Canis lupus familiaris: one gene and its partners. The protein of the gene in region 1 binds, or shares a complex with, the protein of each later gene. Links are inferred from orthologs where the notes say so. Each region holds a gene or a part of one and is shown in the gene's direction. Other genes may lie near its edges.

Region 1 (3,500 bases):
GGACAGACAGAGCTTTGTTAAGTGAGAGAGGCGACAGATGGTAAGAGACCGGGGCTGGGGTCTCTGCAGGTAGCTGTGCTGAAGGTCTGGGTATGAATTACCGAGGGAACGTGAGCTTCACCCGGTCAGGCATCGAGTGCCAGTTATGGAGGAGTCGCTACCCACATAAGCCTGAGTGAGTGATGGGCTGGCCTGTTGGCCAGTGGGCTGAGAATATGGGGCTGGGACACACTGGATGGGGGGTACAGCTTCTGCTGAGCAATTTCCTATTCCAGAATCAACTCTACCACCCACCCTGGGGCCGACCTGCAGGAGAATTTCTGCCGTAACCCGGATGGCAGCACCACTGGGCCCTGGTGCTATACTATAGACCCCACCGTGCGGCGAGAGGAGTGTAGCATCTCCCTCTGCGGTGAGCTGGGGAAGGCTGGGCAGTCCATGGCCAGGGCTCAGGGGTCTCTCCATAGGGCCTGGTAGCCTGGGACAGGAAGCTAGACCCTGGCTACCTTCAAACATGGCTTAGTCACTTACAACAAACACATTTGGGCCCGTGGGTCAGTGAAGTCAAGCAGAGACAGCTGGCCTCCCCTGCCTCCCCAGTCTTTGCCTCTAGTCCTGGTGACCCAGACTATAGCTCATTCCAAATATGCTTTCTTTCCTGCTTGAGGCCTTCTTCCCTCCAGGAAGCCTTCCCTAACCATTTCAGCCTGTGTGCCCTTTTCTGAGCACCACAGAGCAAGCCTCACATGGTCCAGCCCAGCATGATTCTGTCATTATCCTTTTGCCTGATGTGTCAGTTAGCTTTAGCCACAATAATGCTGCAGATCCCACAAAATCACAAACAACTGCAAAAGCTCAGAGGCATATACCAATAAGCATTTATTTCTTATGTGTCTGAGGGTTGGCTTGGGTGGCTGTGCTTATGTCAGCTGTGCCTGCCTATGTCTGTGCTGGCCACAATGTAGGCTGGGCTTGGCTGCTGGTCCTGCTTCAAACAATGGGTCCAGCTGAGCTTGGATCCTTGTGTGGGTTGGGTCCCGGTTTGCTCCACATTACTCATTCCAGGGCTGAGGCTGAAAGGCACCATCTCCCAAAGTTATGGCAGAGGTAAAATAATAAAAATAAAAAAAATATTCAGAAACACATGATGTGTGTCAAGGCAGTTCTGCCCATGTTCCATTGGGCATGATCAAGGCCAACGTCAGCTGCAGATGTGTACCTTTACCTATAAAATCACAGGGCAGAGGATGTGGATCTGGGCAAGGGTAAAGAATTAGTGCCAGCAATCAAACTACCAAATATAGGTTGGTGTATCTTTGTCCTTCATGCATCCCTCTTGGACCTAAGGCTTGGTCCTGGGACTATATTACAGCAAGTTACCAGTCATGGTAACAAAAGCAGCTACCATATACCAAGCCTGCCCACCCCCAATACTTCGCAGGGCTGCTGAAATTGCCCTACTGCCCATGAAGCCATCCTTCGTCATCCCAGCTACTTTTCCTGCTGTCCACTATAAAAATAGACTCTTTCTTTAAAAACTCCAGGCAGTCACTACCAATATATCACAGATAGCCCAGGAGATGAAACCGAGTTGCCATCTGTCTCATAATGCACCAGACACAGCATGTATTTTGTTTAAGTCTCTCAACAACCCTACAAAAGTGGTATCAGTCACCCCTTTTATAGGCAAGCAAAGCGAGGTTCAGAGAGGTCAAGTTACCTGAGGCCACATAGGAAGAAGGTGGCAGGGCAGGAAGTCAAACCCTGACCCCCTGGCCGCGTGTTGTCCCACCCCACCCACTCTGCTCCCCTGCCTCCCCACCCACCAGGCCAGCAGGGAGGCGTCACTGTGCCGCTGACCCCACGCTCCGGAGGCCCCACGGTGAATCTGTCACCTCCATCAGAGCACTGCATCCCTGAGCGTGGCCGGTACTACCAGGGTCGCCTGGCGGTGACCACACATGGGTCCCCCTGCCTGGCCTGGGCCAGCAGACAGGCCAAGGCCCTGAGCAAGGACCAGGACTTCAACCCTGCGGTGCCGCTGGTGGAGAACTTCTGCCGCAACCCGGACGGGGACGAGGAGGGCGCGTGGTGTTACGTGTCGGAGGAGCCAGGTGGCTTTGAGTACTGCGACCTGGACTACTGCGGTGAGGCGGGGCGGGGGCGGGGCGGGGGCGGGGCAGGGGGCGGGGCCGAGCAGCGCCTCCCGGGTGCAGGACTGCCCCGCCGCTGGGGGGCGCGGTCCGCCGTAGCTCCGTCTCCCCGCGGCCCGGTGCGCTTGGCCCCACGCGCAGCTGAACTCGCTCAGGCCCCAGGCCGAGGTCCCCAGGACGCCGTGCGCTGCGCTCCGGGCCTCGCCCAAGGCCCTCCAAGGCCGCGCGGAGGCTTGGGCGGGGGGTGCCCGAGGGCCGCGCGCAGGCTGGCCTGGCCCCAGTGGTGCCTGCTCCCCGCAGAGGAGCCCGTGGAGGAGGTGGGCGACGGGCTGGCCGAGGACCAGGACACGGCCATCGAGGGACGCACCACCGCAGAGGAGTTCCAGCCCTTCTTCAACGAAAAGACCTTCGGCGCCGGGGAGGCAGGTGAGGCAGCGGCGGCAGCGGGGGCTGCAGGGGCGCAGAGCCCAGCTCGGCTCCTCACGCCCGGTTTGCTGTGCAGACTGTGGGCTGCGACCTTTGTTCGAGAAGAGGTCGGTGAAGGACAAAACGGAAGGGGAGCTTCTGGAGTCCTACATCGACGGGCGCATCGTGGAGGGTTGGGACGCGGAGATTGGCCTCGCGCCCTGGTGCGTAGTCCGGGCGGGCCGGAGGGGCCCCTCTGGGGCTGCCCCTTCCCTCACAGGCCTGGGCTTCCCAGGTGATGCCAGCTGGCACCCCTCTGAGATTGGGGGTATTGCTTCTCACATGCAGAGAGCGAGGCTGAGGCCCAGAGAGCTTAAGGGGTCTGCCTACTTGAGTTACTTTCTCTGGCCCCAGAGCTATGCCGGGCTGTGCAAATTCTGGACCTGCAGAAGCTGGGGAGGGGTGCAGAAAGCAGGAGGCAGCCCCTTGGTGTGGTGTGAAGGTCCCAGTCCGCAAGGGCAACCAGGCCAAGCTGGGGTCTGGGCCCAGTAGGCACCTCTGTCCAGTTCTGAAAACTGGGACTTTCTACTTTAGGACAGGTAGAGGGGCAGCTCCCCAGCTCCTAAGGCTTCCCCTTCCCTCCCTCCCCCGTCGCAGGCAGGTGATGCTTTTCCGGAAGAGTCCCCAGGAGCTGCTGTGTGGGGCCAGCCTCATAAGTGACCGCTGGGTTCTCACTGCTGCCCACTGTCTCCTGTACCCACCTTGGGACAAAAACTTCACAGAGAATGACCTTCTGGTGCGCATTGGCAAGCACTCCCGTACCAGGTACAGGATGGGAGGCCACTGGATGTCTGGCAGGGGTCAGAGTCCTCCAGCGTGACCGTGGGGGCCTCTGGTGGTTCCTGGGAATGTGGGATATGTCTGTTTATTTCCCACAGTGGA
Region 2 (4,140 bases), on another chromosome or scaffold:
TTCCACAATAAAATAGCTTTCAATCTCAGCTTCTGTTATCATATATTATGTAGCTAAAATATTAGATGCTGAATTTTGTTTAAAAGATTTTATTTATTTATTTATTTATTCATTCATTCATTCATTCATTCATTCATGAGAGACACACAGAGAGGCAGAGACATATGCAGAGGGACAAGCAGGCTCTCTCTCTCTGAGATGCCTGATGCAGGACTTGATTCCAGGACCCCAGGATCATGACCTGAGTGAGCCAAAGGCAGACGCTCAACCACTGAGCCACCCGAGTGCTTTTAGACACTGAGTTTTTATTGTAAAACTCTTGGTGTGATGAAATTTAATCAAGTGTGAAAAGTTTACACAGATCAACTCCTTCCCGGCTTATCCGACAGCCTGTAAGTCTCACGTGAAACCTGTATTTTCTGATTCTTGCTACATTTTATATGCAAAATGCTGTTGGATTGTTTGGCTTAGGGTTTAACCTTAAGTTGTGTTAATTACAGAAAAATCTGTTACAATGCAGTTCTTTTTTTTTTCTTTTTACTACATATTAAATCATATCCTCCAGGAAATAACTACTCATAAAAGCTAATATATTGTGTAACAACGTGATCGTACTAAATACTACTGAGTTGTACATTTAATAATGATTAAGATAGTAAATTGTATGTTACACATATTTTGCCACAATTAAAAAAAAGCTCATTATAGACCTCACCAACAACCATGGAATAAACAGAGTCCTCTGCATTCAATGCTGTATCATGATTTCAGTTTAACCAAGTATTATTTAACACCGCCTCCACCCACCACCCCTCTCCCCTTGCCTGCTGCCACCCTTGCCTGATCCTATAGAGTTAACCAACAGCTCAGAGTGTGCTGAGTTATGGCAAAACAAAACACCATAGAACCAAATCTGGCCAAGGAGTAATGACAAATTCAGACCGATGTGACACTGATGGAGAATTTTCAAAGTAATCAAGCTCTTAAATTTCACTTCCTAAAAAATGCTTGCTTTTCATGATTCATTTTATTTATAATTATGTAATGAGTTTAAGCATTAAGATTCGAAAGAGCTGGAAGGATAAGGAAAGGATAATTTCTGACAGCTTCATTACTGAGAAGAAATTACCCCCTGGAACAGTGTTTTTTAAATGCATAAAAATGAGATAGGTGACAGAGTCAAAACTAACTGCTACTCAACATCCATCATCAGCTTACTTCTGTAAAGGACTGTCTATTACCTTCCAGCATCTACTCAGAACAGATTATTAGAGGTGGGTAAGAGTTAAAGGATTTTCTCCAGGGATAAAGTAATGTGCTCAGAGGCTCAGCCTGAGTCATGCGCACTGCAACGAGTCCTGTCACACCCTTTCCCTCCAGAGGACCCGGGCAAGCTTCCCAGCCTGCAGAGCACAGGACAGCACATTTTAAGGAGAGAACGAGATTTCCATTTGCTGTTAACACAAGAAACTGATGTGCAGCCGGGCTCCCTAGTTTATACATTTAATAACGTTTGGGAAACGGGATTCAGGTCACCAAGATGAAAGCCCTCATCTTTGTAGCTGCTGGACTGATGCTTCTGTCACCCATTTTTTGTCAAAGCGGTAAGCTCTTTTCTCATGGGGTGTTGGGGGTGCTGGTTTGTGTAACGAGAATGAACTGCATCCAATTTTCTTTGCGTGTCATGCAATCTGCAACCCAAAAGGCACACTTTAATGTTTGTTATTAAAAGGTAGCATCAGGGATGCCTGGGTGGCTTAGCAGTTGAGCATCTGTCTTTGGCTCAGGGCGTGATCCCGGAGCCCCGGGATCGAGTCCCACATCCGGCTCCCTACAGGGAACCTGCTTCTCCCTCTGCCTGAGTCTCTGCCTCTGTGTCTCTCATGAATAAATAAATAAAACCTTAAAAAGAAAAGGTAGAATCATGGAAGTGGATAGCTACGGCTTGTTTACTCTATTCACATTTTATCAAAGACTAGTCCTTTCTGCTTAGATTTAAAAATTTGTGGCATGGTCAAGATTTTAGATCTCTAGAATTAAGAATCAAATTTCTTTGTGAGAAGATTCTGATTTTCTAAGAATTTCCTCTGATTCAGCAAAGATAGTACCTTTTCCAGATATTTAAAAAAATCCTATGTTTATACATTCTCTTGAAGCACAAATGGGAGAAACATAAATATTCCCAGAAAGAATGAGTGGTCTTTCTTTAGAATAAGTAAGGCTGACAAGTCAATATTTCTTTAATGACATACCTTTTTTTTTTTTTTGACTTTGTTTTATCATGGAGTCTTCCCTACATTCACAAGATCTTTTAGTTTTAGAAATGATATCTCCCAAATATTTTTATTCAACTCTTGTTTCCTCTTCTGCTCAACACAATGTCAGCCTCCTGCTTACTCCAAAACAAACCAGTTTGTCATAGATCTACCCATAATTCTTTTACTATCAGGTTGTTTTCCAGCCAATGTTGTTAGGAGCGGGAGAACTGGGGTGAGAGAAGATGATGAAGTAGAATAAATAAAAATGTAACAAAACCAAACCTCCATAAAGAATGTTGCTTCAATCACCAAGGTGGTTGTAGGGAAGCGCTAAGAAAACCCACTCAGCGCAAGAGCACATGTGAGATTCGTGAATAGGATAACTGACTGTTCCTTCTGGCTGTAAATGAACCCAAAGACAGCAGAAAAGGAAAAGAAAAGTTTGTGAAGGGGGTTCCTGCAAGATGTTGGTGGCGGTTCCTGCAAGACATTGGTGGGGGTTTGTAGAGGTGAACAGGGGGCATTTAAAGGTGACAAAGGAATGGGCAGTGCATGTGCTTTCTTCTGTAGGGTGGGAGAAATGTGAGCGAAGAACCCATCATCTAGAGGGTGAAGTCTGGTCCTCTGTCTAAGGCCTTATCCCAAGTTAAAAACATTTCAGAAACATTATGCCAAATGTAAGCCTGTATTAAGAAATCAAAGAAATTTTTTAAAAAACTATGTAAAATTTAACAGTGAGGACTATTAAGTCACACTACTCTCTAAGGAATAAAAGACTTGTTCACACTGAACCAGATCTGGAATTCTCATGGAAAAAAGAATCAAGACTTTTTCACAGAGTCACTGTTTACCATGCTTTTAGGCACCATGTCTTGCTCAACCACAGGAATTTTCTGAAAACTAACAAACACTTCGTATCAACAACTCTCTTATCAGATCTTGAAAGGAAATATCTCGTACACCATGTTCCCCAGCCACTGTCTTCCAGCTTTGTGCCTACTTCCCAAGGCACTTCTCTATGGGTGATGTCAAATTTAAGCATTTTCCAAAATGCAAACCCGAGAAAGGATTCGTGTGGCTGAACTCAAGTGACATGCCACATACTTTCAAAGTTCACAGGCACAGAAGAACACTATTCAGATTTTTTTTTTCTTCAGTCTATCTTCCCTTAAATGACACCTGAGCAATTCCCTGTCCCTACTTGTTCAGGCAACACTGTTTTATACACTGAATTCTGTTTGTGCAATCTCAGGGTTATGAGGAAGGCTTCAATTTCACCTGGGGGCGAACTGCTAGAGATTAAAGCAGGAAGAGAAACTGGCTTTGAATGAGAACCACCTTACTCATCACTAACCCCAAGTATTCAACATGTAAGAATTCAGAGGTCATACGAAAAGACCTAACTGGCAGAGCAATGGCATTTTTAAATTCGTATGACATTTGTATTCAGCATCAAGATCTATCTCAGAAATTTCAGAGGATCTACTTTCTGTACATATCAAAGACTAATTTATGGAAGAATTATTTAATGAGAATTAGGTTTGAGTATTAAGGTCTATTGTGCGCTTTTGAAACTGCTCTTGTATTAGGATTATTAAAATTAGCCTGCCAACCAATGCCCACCATTTATAGGACATAGAATAATGTTATGTCTCTATTCCTTTTTGTTCCATTTCCAATTTTTTTCTTTAGTTTTTTAAATTGAAGTATAGTTGACTTTGGTTTCATTGGTTTCAAGTGAACAACACAGAGATTCAACAGTCCTACACATTGTATGGTGTGATTATCATTTGTCACCCATACAACGTTATGATGTTATTTGACCACGTTCTCTATGTCCATCTTCTCATTTTTCTTCCTTTGTCTCCTCTACTCATGTCCT
Region 3 (3,222 bases), on another chromosome or scaffold:
GAGGGGATGAGTCATCAGGCCCTGTCAATTTTTCCTTAAAAATGTCCCCTCTTTTTCCTAACCTCATCGCCTATGACATCCCACCCTGAGCTAAGAAGGCTTAACCAGCCTGCCCATTCCACTCCTTTAGCCACCCTGCACTGGTCTCCAAACAGCATTCCTAAGACACTCTTCCGCCCCGGCTCTTCTGCTCCGAAGCTCTCTGTGGGCCACCTGCCCACAGGACACAGCCCAGCTTCTAGGCCTCCCATCTGGCCTACTCTGCCCCTCCTCCTCTTTCCTCCTAGCCTGAACAGTGCCCCTTGGCAGTCCAGCTCAAGCGTCCTCCAGGCTTTGCTCACGCCATGTCTCAGGCTGTGGGCAGCTTTCTAGGCCACAGGAATACCTGCTCCTTCCCACCCCCTCCTGGATGGCTCCAGTAGTGAGATCTGTTCTAGTTGTTCAGACGTTACCATACCGCCTTTACCATTTTGCTGCTTCACACACTTGAGTCCTGGCTTGCCAAAAGGAAAGCAAGCTCTTGAGAAGAGGGACTGTGTCTGATGTCTCTTTATCCCCTTTGTGTGCTGGATTTGGCCTCATGGGCACTGTAGTTGCTATTTATCCGTAAAGACTGAATGTGTTGAAGCAAGGACAGAGAACATGCAACACTGTCTGGCATGTGAAGGGTTCCTTTTTCTGTATATTGACCAGATATTCAACTGATTACTTAACAAGAAATTCCTGGAATCAAGAGAATTGTTTTAGATACTTTCAAACCATAAACCAGTAACAGTTCTGCTGCTGACCCGTAAGGCGGAACATGAACCCTACAGTATGGAGGAAATGACTGGATAGCACTAACCATACCTACATTTTAAGAAACTGGAATCATAATGGATGGTCTTTCCCCAAAACTCAACTGATAGTACTGTGATATAAATTTTATTCTGTGGTAAAAGCAACCTGGGGTTGGTGGCGGAAAGGAGGTGAGGGCATTTGAGGGAAAAACAGGATTCTTTTGGAACTTGTAGTTCAATAAAACTGGGCACCCTTTTCTTCTCTGCCCAGAACTCGAGAGGTACTTCTGCCTAAATTCAAACTGGAGAAGAACTACAACCTGGTAGAGGCCCTGAAGTCAATGGGGGTCACAGCACTGTTTGACAAAGAAAGCAATATGACCGGAATCTCAGACCACAGGATCACCATTGATCTGGTAACCTCTCCCTCTGTCCACCCTCCGCACCTGTGCCCAGGGTCTGCCCCCAGCAAAGCCTCCCTCCTGTCTGTCCTGACTTCAGAAGTCAGGGGTGCTGGATCTGCTCTCCCTCAGTCTGCCAGATACTGTGTGGGTAGGGTAGTCTGTTTTAGGGAGCAGCATGGGAATGAATCACATTCTCACTGACTGCAGAAAGAGAGGAGGCATGTGTTCCAACCCCTGAAATAGCGACACTCAGCTGAATCATGAAAGATCCTTTAACATGCAGCAAAAATGCATGACCTGCATACTGAACTTGACAAAATAGACACACTACAAGACAAGAGAGAACACCAGTCCAAAAAACCCGACCCCATCCTTCTAGCAGTGCACCTAGAGCGTAGTACAGGGGAGACGGGGCGTGCAGCTGCTGTCTTGCTGGCAGATTACTCATACTATGGGCCACCACCATGAGAGACTATGATGTTGGAGTTTATAGAGATACATACTATTTATATGACACAGCCTCTGAGCACAATTACCACATCTGGCAGAGATCTTCAAGGGTCATTTTGGCCAGCTGTGGTTTGTGCCTTGTTATGTGGTGTTTCTACCCTAAATGAGAGGAGACTCACTATATCATCTATCCTTCTGTGTGCTCACTGATGGGATCTGACAACTTCCTTTCCATTTTGAAACAGTTCAAGCACCAAGGTACCATCACGGTGAATGAGGAGGGCACCCAAGCTGCCGCCGTGACCACAGTGGGGTTCATGCCGCTGTCCACCCAAGTCCGGTTCACTGTCGACCGCCCCTTCCTCTTCCTCGTCTATGAGCACCGCACCAGCTGTCTGCTCTTCATGGGGAGAGTTGCCAACCCCACCAAGTCTTAAAGGTGGAGGTCTGGGCATTTGAAGTGTTTTGGGGGCACTCTGTAATTCTGGTTCCATTCTAACAATGAGAACGGAGATGTTTTGGCATCATGGCTTTTGTGGTTTATGCTACCATTCTGAAATCGAGGCCCATTGGAGAGGAGAAATTTACAAATGACTGAGAAGCTCACCGGAATCAGTTCAGCACAGTGAACAATGCCAGCAGTTCGTAGAAGTGAACGTACCTGTGATACGTCAGCTGTTACCTAGAGGCTGTCAGCAACATAGAGACTGGCTTACTCCCACTTCCTCAGTGCAAACCTGTGGAGGGCCTGCCTGTGCACCTCCTTCCTCTGCAGTACCTAATCCTTGAACTTTCGGCTCTTTTACTCAAATTGCCGGCGCTCTTCATCTGAACACAGAACACAGAAATGAGCTGCAGGACTAATCTCTCACCTCTCCCAAAGATGGTGCCCAGGACAGGAACAACCTTGTGACATTCAAGGAGTGCCCTAGGTGTTAGGGCTTAATTCTCTCAAGGCCCAACTTTCCAAGTTGATGTTAAATGTCATCTATACTTCTGCTGTCACCTCACTGCTGCCCAGAGGACAGTGTGTACACGTGGCCATGCTTTCCACCTTAGAGATAAATAAATATCGCCACTTTTACTGTGTGTCTGTTATAATTCTCTTTTTTGAGGTTCAAGTAACTAAGAAAGACCAAATTCAAAATAGCTGACATCCCCAGGAGTGACAGAGGTTGACAAAAAACAACTTGATTCTTCATGGTGACTCATGTGCTACACAGCAGGCATACTCCTCAGGATCAGGACATGGTGAGTGTTGCTAAATCGTGGGGGCAAAGGTGCTGTGGATGAAGCTTCATGGAAATTCCTGAAATGCCAGTCCTTGTGGGGGCAAATGCTATGGCTTTCATCCCCGGACACAGGGAGACCCTCAGACAAGCTCCCATAGTGGGTCTGGTTTGAGAAAGCAGGTGACATTTAAATGTCTCTGCTACTTGGGTAAGACCAGTGGAATCTAAAAAGGCTGCTCAGAATTCAAGCGTGCTGGTGCCTCTGCAGTGCTGGGGACTCTGGGCAGTGACAGGGAGAGCATCAGAAGTGCTGTGCGTGCAGCTATCTATGACCCCCAGAACCCTGTAAGAGAGGCT
Region 4 (4,100 bases), on another chromosome or scaffold:
GTGAGGTTTTTACGGATAGTGACAGATGACACAGAAAAATCCCAACAGTACACAAAAACACACAAACGGTAGGCACCCAAGTCCCTCTCCCCAAAGGCGGCTGCCCTCAGCATCCTCCAGAAAGCCCCTGGCGCGGCAGGGCGCCCCACACATCCTGGGGGGGGGCTGCCCCCTCCTGCTGGCACAGGGTTGTTTCTGTGATGCGGCTGGGGATACACAACCCCGCCTCCGCCCTGCGGAGAATACCCGCCCCCCCAACAAGTGACTTCCTGCCCGCGTGCCCCCCCCCACCCGCCTCCCCATCCCTCCCCAGACTCCTGAGTCCAACCAGCCTCCCCCGAGTCGCCCAGCCGCCAGCCCCCCAGCCGCCCCTGCACAGGTTCCCCGTCCTGCTCCTGGAGGGCAGCAGGGGGTCCCCATCTGGGTTTCCCTGTGAGCTCAGAGGGACCTCGGTCAGGAGGTGGCTGAATTTGTCACCGGTGCCGGTGGAAACAGTCCGGAAACGGGAGACTCCCGGCTAAGACCCTGTCCCCGCCGGAACTGTCTGGGCCTGGGTCCCCCACCCTGGGCTGGGGGCCGGGACCTTGGCATCTCACCCTCAGCTGCGCCGACGCCGTCCGGGACTGCTCGGTCACTTCCTGGCTGGTCCCCGTGACCTCGAGTGTGTGGCTAGATTAGGGTTCCCAGCACCAGGACAGGCCGCATCGCTGCCCTTCTCCCACCCCTGGTTCATTTCTTCTTCCTTGCCCCCCTACCGCTGCCTCGGGGTTCTCCTGCTCTCAGACACCCCCCCCACCCCAGCAGCAGCAGCAGCCTGACCACACAGGTCGAGACCCCCCAGCGTGGAGCGGAGCACGGCGGAGGCCTCTCCCTGGAGGGGCATCAGGGGGGACTGTGTGCAGAAGAGAGGAGGACCCTCCCCCTCCCCCGCGAGCCCCTCTGAATTTTTTCACCTGCAAGGTGGGCCCGCATCTGAGTGCAGGGACGAGGAGGGGCGAGAGGAGGGTGGGTGGCTCAGGGGCCCTCTCTCCCGGGCTGGCCTGGCCACCACTCTCAGGCTGAGTTCTGGCCTTGACCGTTCCCGGGAGCCCCAAGCTGCGGATGGAGCCAGGAGGGGAGCAGAAGGGGCCTCAAGACCCAGAAGGAGGCCGAAGCTGGGCTCCTCTCTGCTCCCCAGGATAGTCGCAATAAGGCGGGGCAGCCCCCACAGAGGACCCGGGTGTCTGGGGAGGGGGGAGGACCACTCACCTGCTCTGACCTCTGACTTGGAGGCAGGGCTCTGGTCCAGCCAGCCACAGACAGGGATGGGCGGGGGTGGGGGGGGGCTGCAGGAAGGGTGCAGAGCCCTTGCCTGGGGACGTGACCTGCAGGGCTGTCCTGGGAACGGGGGCTGCACACATGACCGGGTAGCAGGAAGCAGCCACTCAGCCGGGAGAGGCTTTCTGGGCTAGACAGAGGCTGAGGGTGGGGAATTTCCTCCCCCATCTTGCCGGCCCAGCACTGGGACCCTGTTTTTGAAACCAAGTGACTCTGGCCACCAGGCTTCCTCAGGCCACACCATGGGCCTGTCACAGGCTTGTGGGGGCAGGGACTGGTTTATCTCACTGGGGCCTGTCCAATCCTCCACTGGCACTCAGGAAGCTGGGGGTGGGGGGTCCAGCCAGGCAGGAAGCCCTAGGTCAGCCGGCCCCAGCCCAGAGCAGCCTTGGCAGCATGTGGGCCTTGGTGCTGCTCTGGCCTCTGGTTATGGGGTTCAACCTGGAAGACGACAGCCAGAGCCCCCTCACCTACGACGAGATGGGGAGCACAGGGGGAGGTAATGGTGCATGCCCTTGGGCCTTGTCTGGGGGCTGGAGGGAGGCCTAGAGTTGATGAGTGGGAGACAGGGAACTGGCTGGGAGGGGGCAGTCCTCCAACCCAGCCCGGTGCCAGGGCTGGGGGTGTCTGTCCAGCTCTGACTCACCAGGCTGGGGGCTCCTGAGAGCTGGAGCCTGGACCGGAGCCCCCAGGGAGCAGCATCCCGCAGTGGGAGGGACCGGCGGGGTGGTGGTGGTGGGGGAAACGGGGGTGACAACCGGACTCTCAACGCCTCGATCCCCTTTCCCCCAGATGGCACAGTGGGGCCCCTGAGCGGGCCCCAGGAGGGGACCCCTCACTCGCCCCACCTGCGCAGCTTCCCCGGCCAGCCCTGGGCTAACAACAGCGAGATCTTGGAGATCCCAGAAAGCTCCCGCGCCCTGCTGCTGGGCTGGGTGGCCACGAGGCTGGTGCCCGCCGTGTACGGGCTGGCGCTGCTGGTGGGGCTGCCGGCCAACGGCCTGGCGCTCTGGGTGCTGGCCACGCGGGTGCCGCGGCTGCCCTCCACCACGCTGCTCATGAACCTGGCGGCCGCCGACCTGCTGCTGGCCTTGACGCTGCCGCTGCGCATCGCCTACCACCTGCAGGACCGCCACTGGCCCTTCGGCGAGGCGGCCTGCCGCGCCACCACGGCGGCGCTCTACGGGCACATGTACGGCTCGGTGCTGCTGCTGGCGGCCATCAGCCTGGACCGCTACCTCGGCGTGGTGCACCCGCTGCGAGCCCTCACGCTGCGCGGCTGGCGCCTGGCCGCCGGGCTCTGCGCGCTGGCCTGGCTGGCGGCCGCCGCCCTGGCGCTGCCCCTGGCGCTGCAGCAGCAGACCTTCCGGCTGGCGCGGCCGCCCCGCGTGCTGTGCCACGACGCGCTGCCCGCGGGCGCCCAGGCCTCCTACTGGCGACCCGCCTTCCTGTGCCTGGCCGTGCTCGGCTGCTTCGTGCCGCTGCTCGTCGTGCTGCTGAGCTACGCGGCCGCGCTGTGCGCGCTGGCGGCCGGCGGCCCGCGCTACGGCCACGCGCTGGGGCTCACGGCGCTGGTGCTCGCCTCGGCCCTGGCCTTCTTCGTCCCCAGCAACACGCTGCTGCTGCTGCACTACTCGGACCCGGGCCCGGACGCCTGGGGGGACCTGTACGCGGCCTACGTGCCCAGCCTGGCGCTCAGCACCCTCAACAGCTGCGTGGATCCCTTCATCTACTACTACGTGTCCGCGGAGTTCAGGGACAAGGTGCGGGAGAGGCTGCTCTGCTGGGCCCCGGGCGCCTCGGCGGCCTCCAGGGACGGGGCCACCCAGGGCACCGGCACCCGCTCCACCTCGCTGGTGTGACGGGCCCCGGGAGGCGGGGCAGACGGAGAGGGGGTTGCACGGGCCGAGCGGGGTCCCCTCCCAGTTCCTGTCTACAGGGACGCCCTGAAGGTGAGCTGCTGTGAAATAGGGGCTTTGCAGGTACTGTTGAAATTGGGTCACACCGGAGGAGGGGAGAGCCTAAATCCGCTGTGACCAGTGTCCTTATAAGGAGAGGACGCACATACACACCGGGAAGGAGGCCATCTGACCACGAAGGCGGACATTGGGGTGACGCAGCCACAGCCAGAGAACACGACGCCGGCCAGAGGCCGCCAGAAACCGACCGCCCAAGCCTCGCTCCCTCAGAGCCCCCGGAAGATGCCAACCCCGCCCACGCCTTGATCTCAAGCTTCCGGCCTCCAGAACTGTCAGAGAAATAAATTTCTGTTGTCTTAAGTCACCTGTTCTGTGGTATTTGGCTACAGCAGTGCCAAGAAACTAACATATGGGCTAAATGCAGATTCCCAGGTCCGGCCAGCTCCCTCGTGTCCCAGGTGGGGCAGAGGGGTTGCCGAGGCCACTCTAGAGCTGCTGCAGGACCCCCACCCGGGAGGCTGCTCCGGCTGCCCACCCCGTCATGGCCCAGGTGGCCAGGAGGCTAGACGGCAGTCCTCCTTCCCCAAAGCCCAGGGCCTAGCTCCGGGACAGGCTCCCGGGTTTGGGGCATCTCCTGAACAGTCACTGAGGAGGCCCTCATCTGCTCCCCAAAACCTGGTGCGGCCTGGCATGGGGATCTACAGGATTGTCTTTTGCTGTCACCCTGGCTGCAGGATGGCACCTCTTCCCGTCAACCTGAGATCTGAATCCTTTTCTTGATGTTAATGTCTCCCACCACCCCAGGACCAGGTGGGTGGGCATCTGGAGGGTGGACGGGTAAGGCCTGGGGGTGAGGGCTACAGC
Region 5 (4,229 bases), on another chromosome or scaffold:
GGGCGGGGCCGCGCAGGTGCTGCGGGGGGAGCGGGGGGAGCAGAGGTGGGGGGCCCGAGGGTGGGGAGCAGGGGTGCGTGGAGCGAGGGTAGGGGCGAGGGAGGGGCCGCGCAGGTGCTGCGGGGGGGCGGGGGGAGCAGAGGTGAGGGGGCTGAGAGCGGGGAGCAGGGGGGCGTGGAGCGAGGGGCGGGGACGGGGCCGCGCAGGTGCTGCGGGGGGGGGCGGGGGGAGCAGAGGTGGGGGGCCGAGGGTGGGAGCAGGGGTGCGTGGAGCGAGGGTAGGGGCGAGGGAGGGGCCGCGCGGGGGGGGGGGCGGGGGGAGCAGAGGTGGGGGCGCCCAGGGCGGGGAGCAGGGGTGCGTGGAGCGAGGGTAGGGGCGGGGGAGGGGCCGCGGGGGGGTGGGGGGGAGCAGAGGTGGGGGGGCCGGGGGCGGGGGGAGCAGAGGTGGGGGGGGCCGAGGGCGGGGAGCAGGGGGTGCGTGGAGCGAGGGTAGGGGCGGGGGAGGGGCCGCGCAGGTGCTGCGGGAGGTGGGTGGGGAGAAGGGGGGAGGCCGGGGGACGGCGGTCCGGGCGGGGAGCCGAGGGCGGCCGCCGTGGGAGGGGCCGCGAAGGCCGCGCAGGTGCTGCGGGGGGCGGGGCGGGGGCGGCCGCCGCGGGAGGGGCGGGGCCGGGGGGGCGCCCTCGGGATCCCCGCCCGCTGCGGAGCAGCGCGACCCCCGGGGGCAAAGCTTCACCGACTAGCGGAGACCTCCGCGTTCGGGCGGCTCCTCCTCCCGGCCCTGCTCCCTGGAGGGCGCAGCCTGTCCGCTCTCGCTACAGTGAAAAGAACACGAGTCACTTCGAAGCTTCCCGCTGGCCTCCCCCGGCCTGGGCGGCGGGCGGGAAGGGCCGGGGGCGCCTGGGTGCGCGGAGCCCCGCCACGGAGGCCGTGCTCCCGGGGCCGCAGAGGTGCCGCGAGCGGCCGCCGAAGCCCGTCCGAGGCCCCGAGCTCCGCCGGCCACGGGCGCCGGGAGGGAAACGGTCGCGTTGGGATTCTCCCGCCCGGCAGGGGCGAGGGGGCGGGGGCGGGGGCGGGGGCGGGGGCGCGCCGGGTGGGAGCGGGGCGGGGGGCGCAGACGGGGGACAGGGGGCGTGGAGCAGGGGCGAGGGGGCGGGGGGCGCGCCGGGAGGGGGCGGGGCGCGGGGGCGGGGCGGCGGCGGGGCTCGGGGTCCGTCCCGGCTCCGGCCGCGGGGCTCCGCGCGCCCCGCCCCCGCCCCCGCCCCCGCGCCCCGCCCCGCCCCGCCCCGCCCCGCCCCGCCGCCCGCGTCCTCGGGGAGCCGCCGCCGCCCGGCCGCCCGCAGAGTCGCCGCCCGCCGCCCGCCGAGCGTGCCCGGCCCCGCGTGGAGCGCCCCGCGGCCCGCAGTGTGCGGCGGTCGGAGCCCGCGGCCGCAGGGAGGGCGCGCAGCCGAGCCGAGGGGCGCCGGCGCCGGGACAATGGGGCCGGGGAGGCTGCTGCTGGTCGCCGCGGGACTCGGTCTGTGCGGCCCCCTGCTGTCCGCGCGCGTCCGCGGCCGCCAGCCGGGTGAGAGCCGGGCCCCGCGGGGGGGGCGGGGGGCGCCCTGCCTGGGCCGCGGGAGCTGCCGTCCGGGGCGCCCTTGCTCCGCGGCCGCGCGGCCCTGCGCCTCCGGGCCCTCGTGCCAGGACCGCCCCGGGGAGACCGCGGCCCACGCCGCTCCGCCGCTCCTGGCGCGTTCGATACACAGCGGAGAGGCGTCCCCGATAAAGTTTTCTTTTGTTGGAAAATGGCTTTTCTTGCACGTTTTACACGTGGGGAGAGCAAAGGGCACCGGCGGCGGCAGCCGGGGGGGCGGGGAGGCCGGGCGGGGAGCCCGCAGCAGCCCCGGCCTCCCGAGCGCGCCGAGGCCGGGGGCGTCCCCAGGGGCGGCCGCCTCGCGCCCTGGGGTCTCACTGCCGCCCTTCGGGCCGCTGCCAGGGGGGCTGCCCACCCCGACACGAGTCCCACCCACTGCGTGTCTCCAAGTGTCTGGCTACCTGACCAAGTACATGTATTTTCCAAATCCCCCCCCCCCCCGCAAAAAAAAGCAGGACGGAGTTGTTTTTAACTGGTAAAAAAAAAAAGTTGTTTTTAACGGGTAACTGGTTTTTAACAGAACCCAAGGGAAAACACTTTTCAATGTCTTTATAGTGATAGTACTTTTTCTTATTGGTGACAGATTGTGTGTCCTTTACGCCGTTTTCACACTGGAACTAGAGTAGTTGCATTAAGAATAAGAGGTGACAAAGGTAGAGTTTTCTCTCCATCAGACTGAGTTCTGCTCTGGTGCTTTTGGGCAAAGCACAAGCTCCACGCAGGAGCCGGCTCTGCAGCAGCCCCGGGGGCTGCGGAGAACATCCGCACGGTCTCCTGGTGTCTGAAGACGCCTGCAGAGTCCTGGGAACTGTACGGTGTTATGTGCTCTGTGATGTGACTTTGTACTTTTATTTGGGGACAAGCTCTTGAGAATACAAATTGTTGTATGAGATTTGGATGGTGAGGTCAGGAATAAGTTTATACCGGCACAGATCCCCTGAAGTCACCCTTCCTCAAGGCCCCCAAGACCTTGGCGCCTGTGGGGGAGTACGGTGAAGTCCACAGTGTTTGTGCTCAGCTTTCTTGCTTGTGAACTGAGAAGGGGCACGCTAAGCTGGACATGCTAGCGTAGACGGATAACCGAACAGAGATTGGCTAGCTTATCTACACTGGATTCTGGAAGCACTTTGGGAGGGAAAGAAGAAAGGAGGGTGAGAGAAAAAAAAAGAGCCGGAGCTGAGTCCTCTTCGGGGGCAGGCCCTGGGCCCGGAGGCCCGGAGGCATTTGCACTCGGATCACCTGAGAGTCTCCCCCTCTCAGAAAACACTGCTAAGGCTGGCGGGCATCCCCCTGAAACCAGGACTCAGAGACAGTATAGCAAAGCTCCAGATGGAGGAGGGGGTCCTGTGTGCAGGAAATAAGTGTCTCTAGAGTTGAAATCACTCATAAGATCAACTAAAAATAGGTCTGCTTTGTCTTATCACGGCCCACTGGCAGTTCTAAAGGGTATCTGCCCTCAGCACTTTACGTGATGGGAGGAAGCCTAAGACCCCAGGCCCTGGAAAGCTCTCCAGGCTGGCCCTGCCCACCAGTTTCAGCTTTCCTGAAGCTCTTGGGACTTTTGTACCCGCTCGTTTTGGCATTTGCTGCACTGTCACTATGTGGGTATCTCATCTCCCCGGCCAAGATTATAGGCTTCCATTTATGCCCAGGAAGTCTAGAACCAGGGTCTGCTCCGCAAATGTTTATTGAGAAATTCGTAAGTTCATTACCCAATTTACTTCCCTTTCTCTTGGGTAATTTAAGTGAGATCAAAGAGGGCCAGCATCCAAGAGGTGACGCTTATCAATTTTATAAGGATCTGCATGAAGGATGGAAGGGTTCAAGAATCGCTGATACTGGGATCCCTGGGTGGCGCAGCGGTTTAGCGCCTGCCTTTGGCCCAGGGCGTGATCCTGGAGACCCGGGATCGAGTCCCACGTCGGGCTCCCGGGGCATGGAGCCTGCTCCTCCCTCTGCCTGTGTCTCTGCCTCTCTCTCTCTCTGTGTGACTATCATAAATTAAAAAAAAAAAAAAAAAGAATCGCTGATACTGTGGCAGAGGGGATTGGCTGGGAGAAGCCACGTGCTGCACGGCTGCCCACAGGCTCAAGCCCATTTACTCAGCATAGAAGGAGGTGCCCCTCCCCTTGCAGGATGGGTCCCAAGCCTCTACGCAGCCGCCTCTGTTATGTAACCTGTGAGATTACCCATGTTCCACCCAGCCCTACCCTCCAGTCCCTCCTCCTGGGAGCTAGGCTTTCTCTGGCCTCTGCCCCCTGCCATGCCCTCTGGCCAAAATGCCCTCCCTTACGCTCCACATGTTCACATTTAATTAAAAACAGCCACTCTAGGACACCTGGGTGGCTCAGTGGTTGAGCATTGGCCTTCGGCTCAGGTTGGGATCCTGGGGTCCCGGGATCAAGTCCCGCATCAGGCTTCCCGCATGGAGCCTGATTCTCCCTCTGCCCGTGTCTCTGCCCCTCTCTCTGTCTCTCATGAATAAATAAATAAAATCCCAGCCACTCTATATCAAGCACCTACTACATCAGCATCCTTTTTAGGTATTTTACGTATACTGTCTTGTTTATTCCTCTCAACAATCTTTTGAGTATGTGGTA
Region 6 (3,991 bases), on another chromosome or scaffold:
GGGTATTAGGATGTGGCTATCTTTGGGGGACATGTTATCCACCCCAGCACAGGCATGTAATACGATTTCCACCCTACAGAACACAGTTTAGGAATCTCTAGGTTCTTTAAAGGACTCTTGCTATGTCACATGGGACAATGGACGGAAGAGACCTAGCTTTCCCCTTGCTAACGCTCCCCCTTATTAGCTGTGTGCCTTTGGGCTGATTACCTAACCTCTCTCTGCTTCTGTCTTCTCACTGATCCGATGGAGATACTAGTACCCACCTTCCAGCACATCTGGGAGGCAGCGAGCACAAAGTAAGTGCTCAATGCCCAGTAGTGATGGTGTTAACCTGTGGACTGAGGTGGGCCTCAGTCTCCTCCTGGTCTCAGAGGCAGTAGAGGGACCCTGTTTGCTGAACACCAAGATCGCTTCCCCTGGGCAACGTCTGGCCCCCTGTCTCCTCTGCCAATTCCCCACCCCAGCTCACCCACATCACCCCTGGGTCTTGGCCACACGCAGGACACCTGACACCAGGGCCCGGGGACCTTGGGAATGAAGCAAGGGTTGAGCCAGCACCCTGCACCAGTATCTTGGAAATGCTCTTGAAATGGCGGGGCTGAGTTCCAGAGCCCCAAGGTCAAGGTCAAAAAGGGCAGTTCAGCTCCAGCTGAGCCTACTGAAAACCCAGATACAGTCCTTTCCTAAGGAAAAAGCCTTGACCTTGAAGTTGGTGACCTGGGCACCAGGCACCATTCTGTCCCTAATTTGATGTCCCGCTCATCTTTCTGAGCCTCAATTCAGTTATTTGCACAGCAAGGGGACTGGATCCAATGGTCCCTGCATCCAGCCATGGTGACAGTCCCTCTGACTTCCTCTAGACTCTCACCATTGAAGGAATCCTGTAAGCTCTGCCTGGGAATCCGGTAGTGTTGGGGGGTGTGGAGACCTCGGGCTCGCACGATCCTGCCCCAGATGTAGAGCCAAGTGGCTGTGGGAGCAGAGGAATCAGCCTGGAGAAAGGAAGGCTTGCCAGAGGGTGTCCCTTTCTCTGTGTCTGGAATGCCAGCAGCAGGTGGCCTCCCTGGGGACCCCGTGCTGTGGAGGCCAACGGGGGTCTGTGTAAGACTGGTGAGTGGGTGGCCCCAGGTCAGAGCTCAGGTGGCTGTGCCTGCAGCCTACCCGTTGGCAAGAAGCCCTCCAGGACAGGACGGGGCAGGGCCAAGGGGGCGGGGGCGGAGTCAGGGCTCTGCCCAGGTCAGTGACAAATGCTCCTTCCAACAGCTTCTGGTTTTCGCTGAGCGTGAGGGACTGGGACCTCCACTGTGTGCACGCTTGACTGTGAGACAGAGTAAGTACAGGCATTGAAGACGGACAGGGGGCCCACGGGCTTGAGGGCATGGGGCTTGATAGGATACTGGGGTTCTGGGATTTGAGAGGCTTCGAAGCTTTGGGGCAGCGCCAGAGTGACCAGGAAAACTTCCCGCGGGGGTGGGGAGAGAGCCAGGGCCTCAGAGGCCGCAGAGTCCACCCTCTGCCCCAGAACTGTGAACTTGGGCACACACTACATTGGCAGCACCTTGGTGTCCTTTTAGGTAAGATGCGAATTATTACACCTTCCCCACAGTGGCTGTGAAGATTCGGTATGTGGTAGCTCTCGCCCAGGAGGGATTTTGATCCCTGCGGCACATCTGGCAACATCTGGAGACATTTGTAGTGGGCACAGCTGGGGACAGAGTTGCACTGGCGTCTAGTGGGTAGAGGTCAGGGATGCCCCTAAATCGCTGACAAGGCACAGGAGAGCCCCCATGACAAAGAACAGCTCCGAGGTGGAGAAACCCCGAGACAAGGTAGAGGGGACAGAGTCTGGTCCACAGGCGGTGCTCCTCTGTCTGGCTTTCGGCACCTGCCATCTCGGACCTTTAGAAATCAGGAGAAACGACGGAACAGCTCTGTTTCCCTGAGTCAGGGCTGCCCCGGCTGGAGCTGCCACCTACAGGGGTCTCAGGGGCTGCTCGAGCTCCGGATGCTGTGTGGCGATTTGTTAAATAGGCGAAACTTGGACATAAAATAAGTATACTTTTCGGTTTTTCTAAGGAGAGGGGCAGTTGCTGCCCAGCGTCCTTGGTCACGGATCAAGAAGCATGAAGGATAAGGCGGTGGGCAGAGGGGGCCGGGAGGCGATGGGTTCGTTTGTGCTGGTGGTAGTTTCACGGGTGTACATGGCCCAGGGCTTTTTGTATGTCACTCGTATCTCAAGAAATGAGTTTTTAGGAAGGAAAAGGGAAATGGAAGCCGAATAGCAGAGGAGAGTTGTTCCAAGCCACCTGGCAAGTTAGCCCTGGGTGCAGGAGGGCTTCGCGTCCAGCACAGGTTCTAAAGCCTCTGAGCCATAGAGAAGGACTTCATTCATTCATTCATTCATTCATTCATTCATTCTTCCAAAAAGGGGTCTGAGCACCAGCCCTTGGCTGCAAACCTCACAGCAAGAGCCTTTTCGGTTGCTTTTCGGTTGCTCTCTGCTAGGAGCTCGTGCTCTAGTTGGGAACAGAGGCCGGGAGGCAGGAAGGCACCTGCAAATGCACGTGGGACCCGGGCTTCCATCACTGTGGGGGCTCAGGGGCCATCCTAGAGAATAACAATGCACGGGGAGGGGCCGGGCAGGGGCAAGGCATGACAACAGCGAGGAGGAGCAGACAGGTCTCCTTAGGCACACACCTCCCACAGCTGAGCTCCAAGTTGACCTGGTAGGACTTTGGGACCTAGCATTCGGAATAAGTGCAGCAGTTTTGGAGTCCATGGATGGTGGGGATTAGTGGGAGGACTTCCTCAGCGCCTGCCCAGGCCCTGCCCTGCCCAGCCCGGCCGGCTCAAGTCACTCTGGCCTGGGGTGCCAGATGCGCTGGATCCATCTGCTCTTCTCCCTCGGACATGCGGGGACCTCTCTGCAGAAACACTGGCATCGGGGGGCCCAGGAGAGGGCCAACGAGGCCAGGCTCCACTCTCCTGATTGAGAGCCCATCTCCCAGGGGCCAGGCTCCCAGGGCCTGGAGCAGACTCGCCCCAGCTCACAGTTGGCACAAAACTCTGTCAAAGCTGTGTCTTTCCGCCGGAGGCCTAGTAATATGATGACTGGCACAGTCCGGGTTTGAAACTGGGAAGCCTAAAACCAGCACCCTCATGCCTCCACTCTCTCGGACCCCCTATTTCCTCCTCTGTACAATGATGGTGAAGATACCAGCTCCGTGTTGCTGTGGAGGAGCATAAATGAGCTTGGGCGAGACCTGGGGATACTCACGAGGACCTAGCTACAGGGGAGAGGGAACAAGGTATCTGTCTCAGAACCGTGAAAGGAAGAACGAGGCAGTGTGTACACCAGTCACAGGAATCTGGATTTTAATCCCGGCTCCATCACTCACTGGCTGAGACAAGCTATATACCATTTTGCTCAGCCTCAGTTTACCCATCCGCAAAATGGTCTCAATGATGTTTCTTCCTTTGATGGGTAGATGCAGTAATATTTGTAGAGTATTGAAGAGGTTGTTAATGAACACTGTTTTGGGTTTCTTTTTTTTTAAGATTTTATTTGTTTATTCACGAGAGACACAGAGAGAGGCAGAGACACGGGCAGAGGGGGAAGCAGGCTCCCTGCGGGGAGCCTGAGCCTGATGCAAGAGTTGATCTCAGGACCCCAGGATCACACCCTGAGCTGAAGGCAGGGGCTCAACCACTGAGCCACCCAGGCGTCCTCAAACACTGGTTTTAGTAAGAGAGAGAGAGTGAGCCCAAGTGGAGAGTTCTAGGTCCCAAACCTGCAGCCCAGGGGAGAGGGCATGAGGCTGGGGCCGCCTCCAAGGAGACCCCGGTATCTGGGGAGACTCGGTGGGTGCTGAGAAAGTGGCTCTGGCCCACCAGACCTCTGGTGCTTGGTGGGGGGCAAAGGGGCAGTGGTGGGGAGAATTGTTTATGAACAAGCTGAGGCCTGCAGAGAGGAAGGAACTGGCTCAAG

What was found.
Region 2: the proteins of F2 (region 1) and F2RL2 are in contact, whole or in part, in a crystal structure (PDB 2PUX), measured with the Mus musculus proteins. The link is inferred for Canis lupus familiaris from reciprocal best matches to the Homo sapiens genes F2 and F2RL2. Residues at the interface, in NP_034298.1 of Mus musculus: Phe379, Gln384, Glu385, Leu386, Leu420, Arg422, Arg428, Thr429, Arg430, Tyr431, Arg433, Lys437, Ile438, Ser439, Met440, Lys467, Pro470; in NP_034300.3 of Mus musculus: Thr46, Phe47, Glu48, Glu49, Phe50, Pro51, Asp54, Ile55, Glu56.
Region 3: the proteins of F2 (region 1) and SERPIND1 are in contact, whole or in part, in a crystal structure (PDB 1JMO), measured with the Homo sapiens proteins. The link is inferred for Canis lupus familiaris from reciprocal best matches to the Homo sapiens genes F2 and SERPIND1. Residues at the interface, in NP_000497.1 of Homo sapiens: Lys384, Ser385, Pro386, Gln387, Leu389, Leu390, Cys391, His406, Cys407, Tyr410, Pro412, Trp413, Asp414, Lys415, Leu423, Arg425, Ser430, Thr432, Arg433, Tyr434, Lys440, Ile441, Ser442, Met443, Asn458, Leu459, Lys470, Trp511, Ala513, Asn514; in NP_000176.2 of Homo sapiens: Glu75, Asp76, Asp77, Asp78, Tyr79, Leu80, Leu82, Ile85, Phe86, Asp89, Asp91, Val305, Glu306, Met307, Thr308, His309, Gln327, Asp343, His361, Lys362, Arg388, Thr457, Val458, Gly459, Phe460, Met461, Pro462, Leu463, Ser464, Thr465.
Region 4: the proteins of F2 (region 1) and F2RL3 are in contact, whole or in part, in a crystal structure (PDB 2PV9), measured with the Mus musculus proteins. The link is inferred for Canis lupus familiaris from reciprocal best matches to the Homo sapiens genes F2 and F2RL3. Residues at the interface, in NP_034298.1 of Mus musculus: Glu385, Leu386, Leu387, Cys388, His403, Tyr407, Trp410, Asp411, Arg428, Arg453, Glu454, Asn455, Leu456, Trp501, Gly502, Asn503, Trp508, Thr510, Gln516, Arg538, Ile539, Asp559, Ala560, Cys561, Glu562, Gly563, Asp564, Val585, Ser586, Trp587; in NP_032001.2 of Mus musculus: Asp54, Lys55, Pro56, Asn57, Pro58, Arg59, Gly60, Tyr61, Pro62, Gly63, Lys64, Cys66, Asn68, Asp69, Ser70.
Region 5: the proteins of F2 (region 1) and F2R are in contact, whole or in part, in a crystal structure (PDB 3LU9), measured with the Homo sapiens proteins. The link is inferred for Canis lupus familiaris from reciprocal best matches to the Homo sapiens genes F2 and F2R. Residues at the interface, in NP_000497.1 of Homo sapiens: Phe382, Arg383, Pro386, Gln387, Glu388, Leu389, Leu390, Cys391, His406, Cys407, Tyr410, Trp413, Lys415, Leu423, Arg425, Arg431, Thr432, Arg433, Tyr434, Ile441, Met443, Glu457, Asn458, Leu459, Asn506, Thr510, Lys517, Gly518, Gln519, Arg541; in NP_001983.2 of Homo sapiens: Ala33, Thr34, Asn35, Thr37, Leu38, Asp39, Pro40, Arg41, Ser42, Phe43, Leu44, Leu45, Arg46, Asn47, Pro48, Asp50, Lys51, Tyr52, Glu53, Pro54, Phe55, Trp56.
Region 6: the proteins of F2 (region 1) and SERPINA5 are in contact, whole or in part, in a crystal structure (PDB 3B9F), measured with the Homo sapiens proteins. The link is inferred for Canis lupus familiaris from reciprocal best matches to the Homo sapiens genes F2 and SERPINA5. Residues at the interface, in NP_000497.1 of Homo sapiens: Arg383, Pro386, Glu388, Leu389, Leu390, Cys391, His406, Cys407, Tyr410, Pro412, Trp413, Asp414, Lys415, Trp455, Glu457, Asn458, Leu459, Asn506, Arg541, Ile542, Asp562, Ala563, Cys564, Glu565, Gly566, Asp567, Val588, Ser589, Trp590, Gly591; in NP_000615.3 of Homo sapiens: Gln241, Lys295, Lys296, Arg297, Thr368, Ile369, Phe370, Thr371, Phe372, Arg373, Ser374, Ala375, Arg376, Leu377, Asn378.

What each region holds. Positions count from the first base shown.
Region 1 is NC_049239.1:43,219,303-43,222,802, reverse strand, and holds part of F2 (prothrombin), read left to right. Parts: intron 1-69; coding exon 70-175; intron 176-275; coding exon 276-412; intron 413-1,829; coding exon 1,830-2,147; intron 2,148-2,453; coding exon 2,454-2,579; intron 2,580-2,655; coding exon 2,656-2,782; intron 2,783-3,215; coding exon 3,216-3,383; intron 3,384-3,500. UniProt on the Homo sapiens protein: Thrombin, which cleaves bonds after Arg and Lys, converts fibrinogen to fibrin and activates factors V, VII, VIII, XIII, and, in complex with thrombomodulin, protein C. Functions in blood homeostasis, inflammation and wound healing.
Region 2 is NC_049224.1:30,171,636-30,175,775, forward strand, and holds the start of F2RL2 (proteinase-activated receptor 3), read left to right. Parts: upstream 1-1,340; 5' UTR 1,341-1,540; coding exon 1,541-1,604; intron 1,605-4,140. UniProt on the Homo sapiens protein: Receptor for activated thrombin coupled to G proteins that stimulate phosphoinositide hydrolysis.
Region 3 is NC_049247.1:30,854,149-30,857,370, reverse strand, and holds the end of SERPIND1 (heparin cofactor 2), read left to right. Parts: intron 1-1,050; coding exon 1,051-1,195; intron 1,196-1,878; coding exon 1,879-2,070; 3' UTR 2,071-2,722; downstream 2,723-3,222. UniProt on the Homo sapiens protein: Thrombin inhibitor activated by the glycosaminoglycans, heparin or dermatan sulfate. In the presence of the latter, HC-II becomes the predominant thrombin inhibitor in place of antithrombin III (AT-III).
Region 4 is NC_049241.1:46,146,494-46,150,593, reverse strand, and holds F2RL3 (proteinase-activated receptor 4), read left to right. Parts: upstream 1-1,322; 5' UTR 1,323-1,713; coding exon 1,714-1,816; intron 1,817-2,109; coding exon 2,110-3,179; 3' UTR 3,180-3,600; downstream 3,601-4,100. UniProt on the Homo sapiens protein: Receptor for activated thrombin or trypsin coupled to G proteins that stimulate phosphoinositide hydrolysis. May play a role in platelets activation.
Region 5 is NC_049224.1:30,090,546-30,094,774, reverse strand, and holds the start of F2R (proteinase-activated receptor 1), read left to right. Parts: upstream 1-1,429; 5' UTR 1,430-1,472; coding exon 1,473-1,560; intron 1,561-4,229. UniProt on the Homo sapiens protein: High affinity receptor that binds the activated thrombin, leading to calcium release from intracellular stores.
Region 6 is NC_049229.1:63,891,198-63,895,188, forward strand, and holds the start of SERPINA5 (plasma serine protease inhibitor), read left to right. Parts: upstream 1-1,191; 5' UTR 1,192-1,333; intron 1,334-1,462; exon of another isoform or gene 1,463-1,577; intron 1,578-3,991. UniProt on the Homo sapiens protein: Heparin-dependent serine protease inhibitor acting in body fluids and secretions. Inactivates serine proteases by binding irreversibly to their serine activation site. Involved in the regulation of intravascular and extravascular proteolytic activities.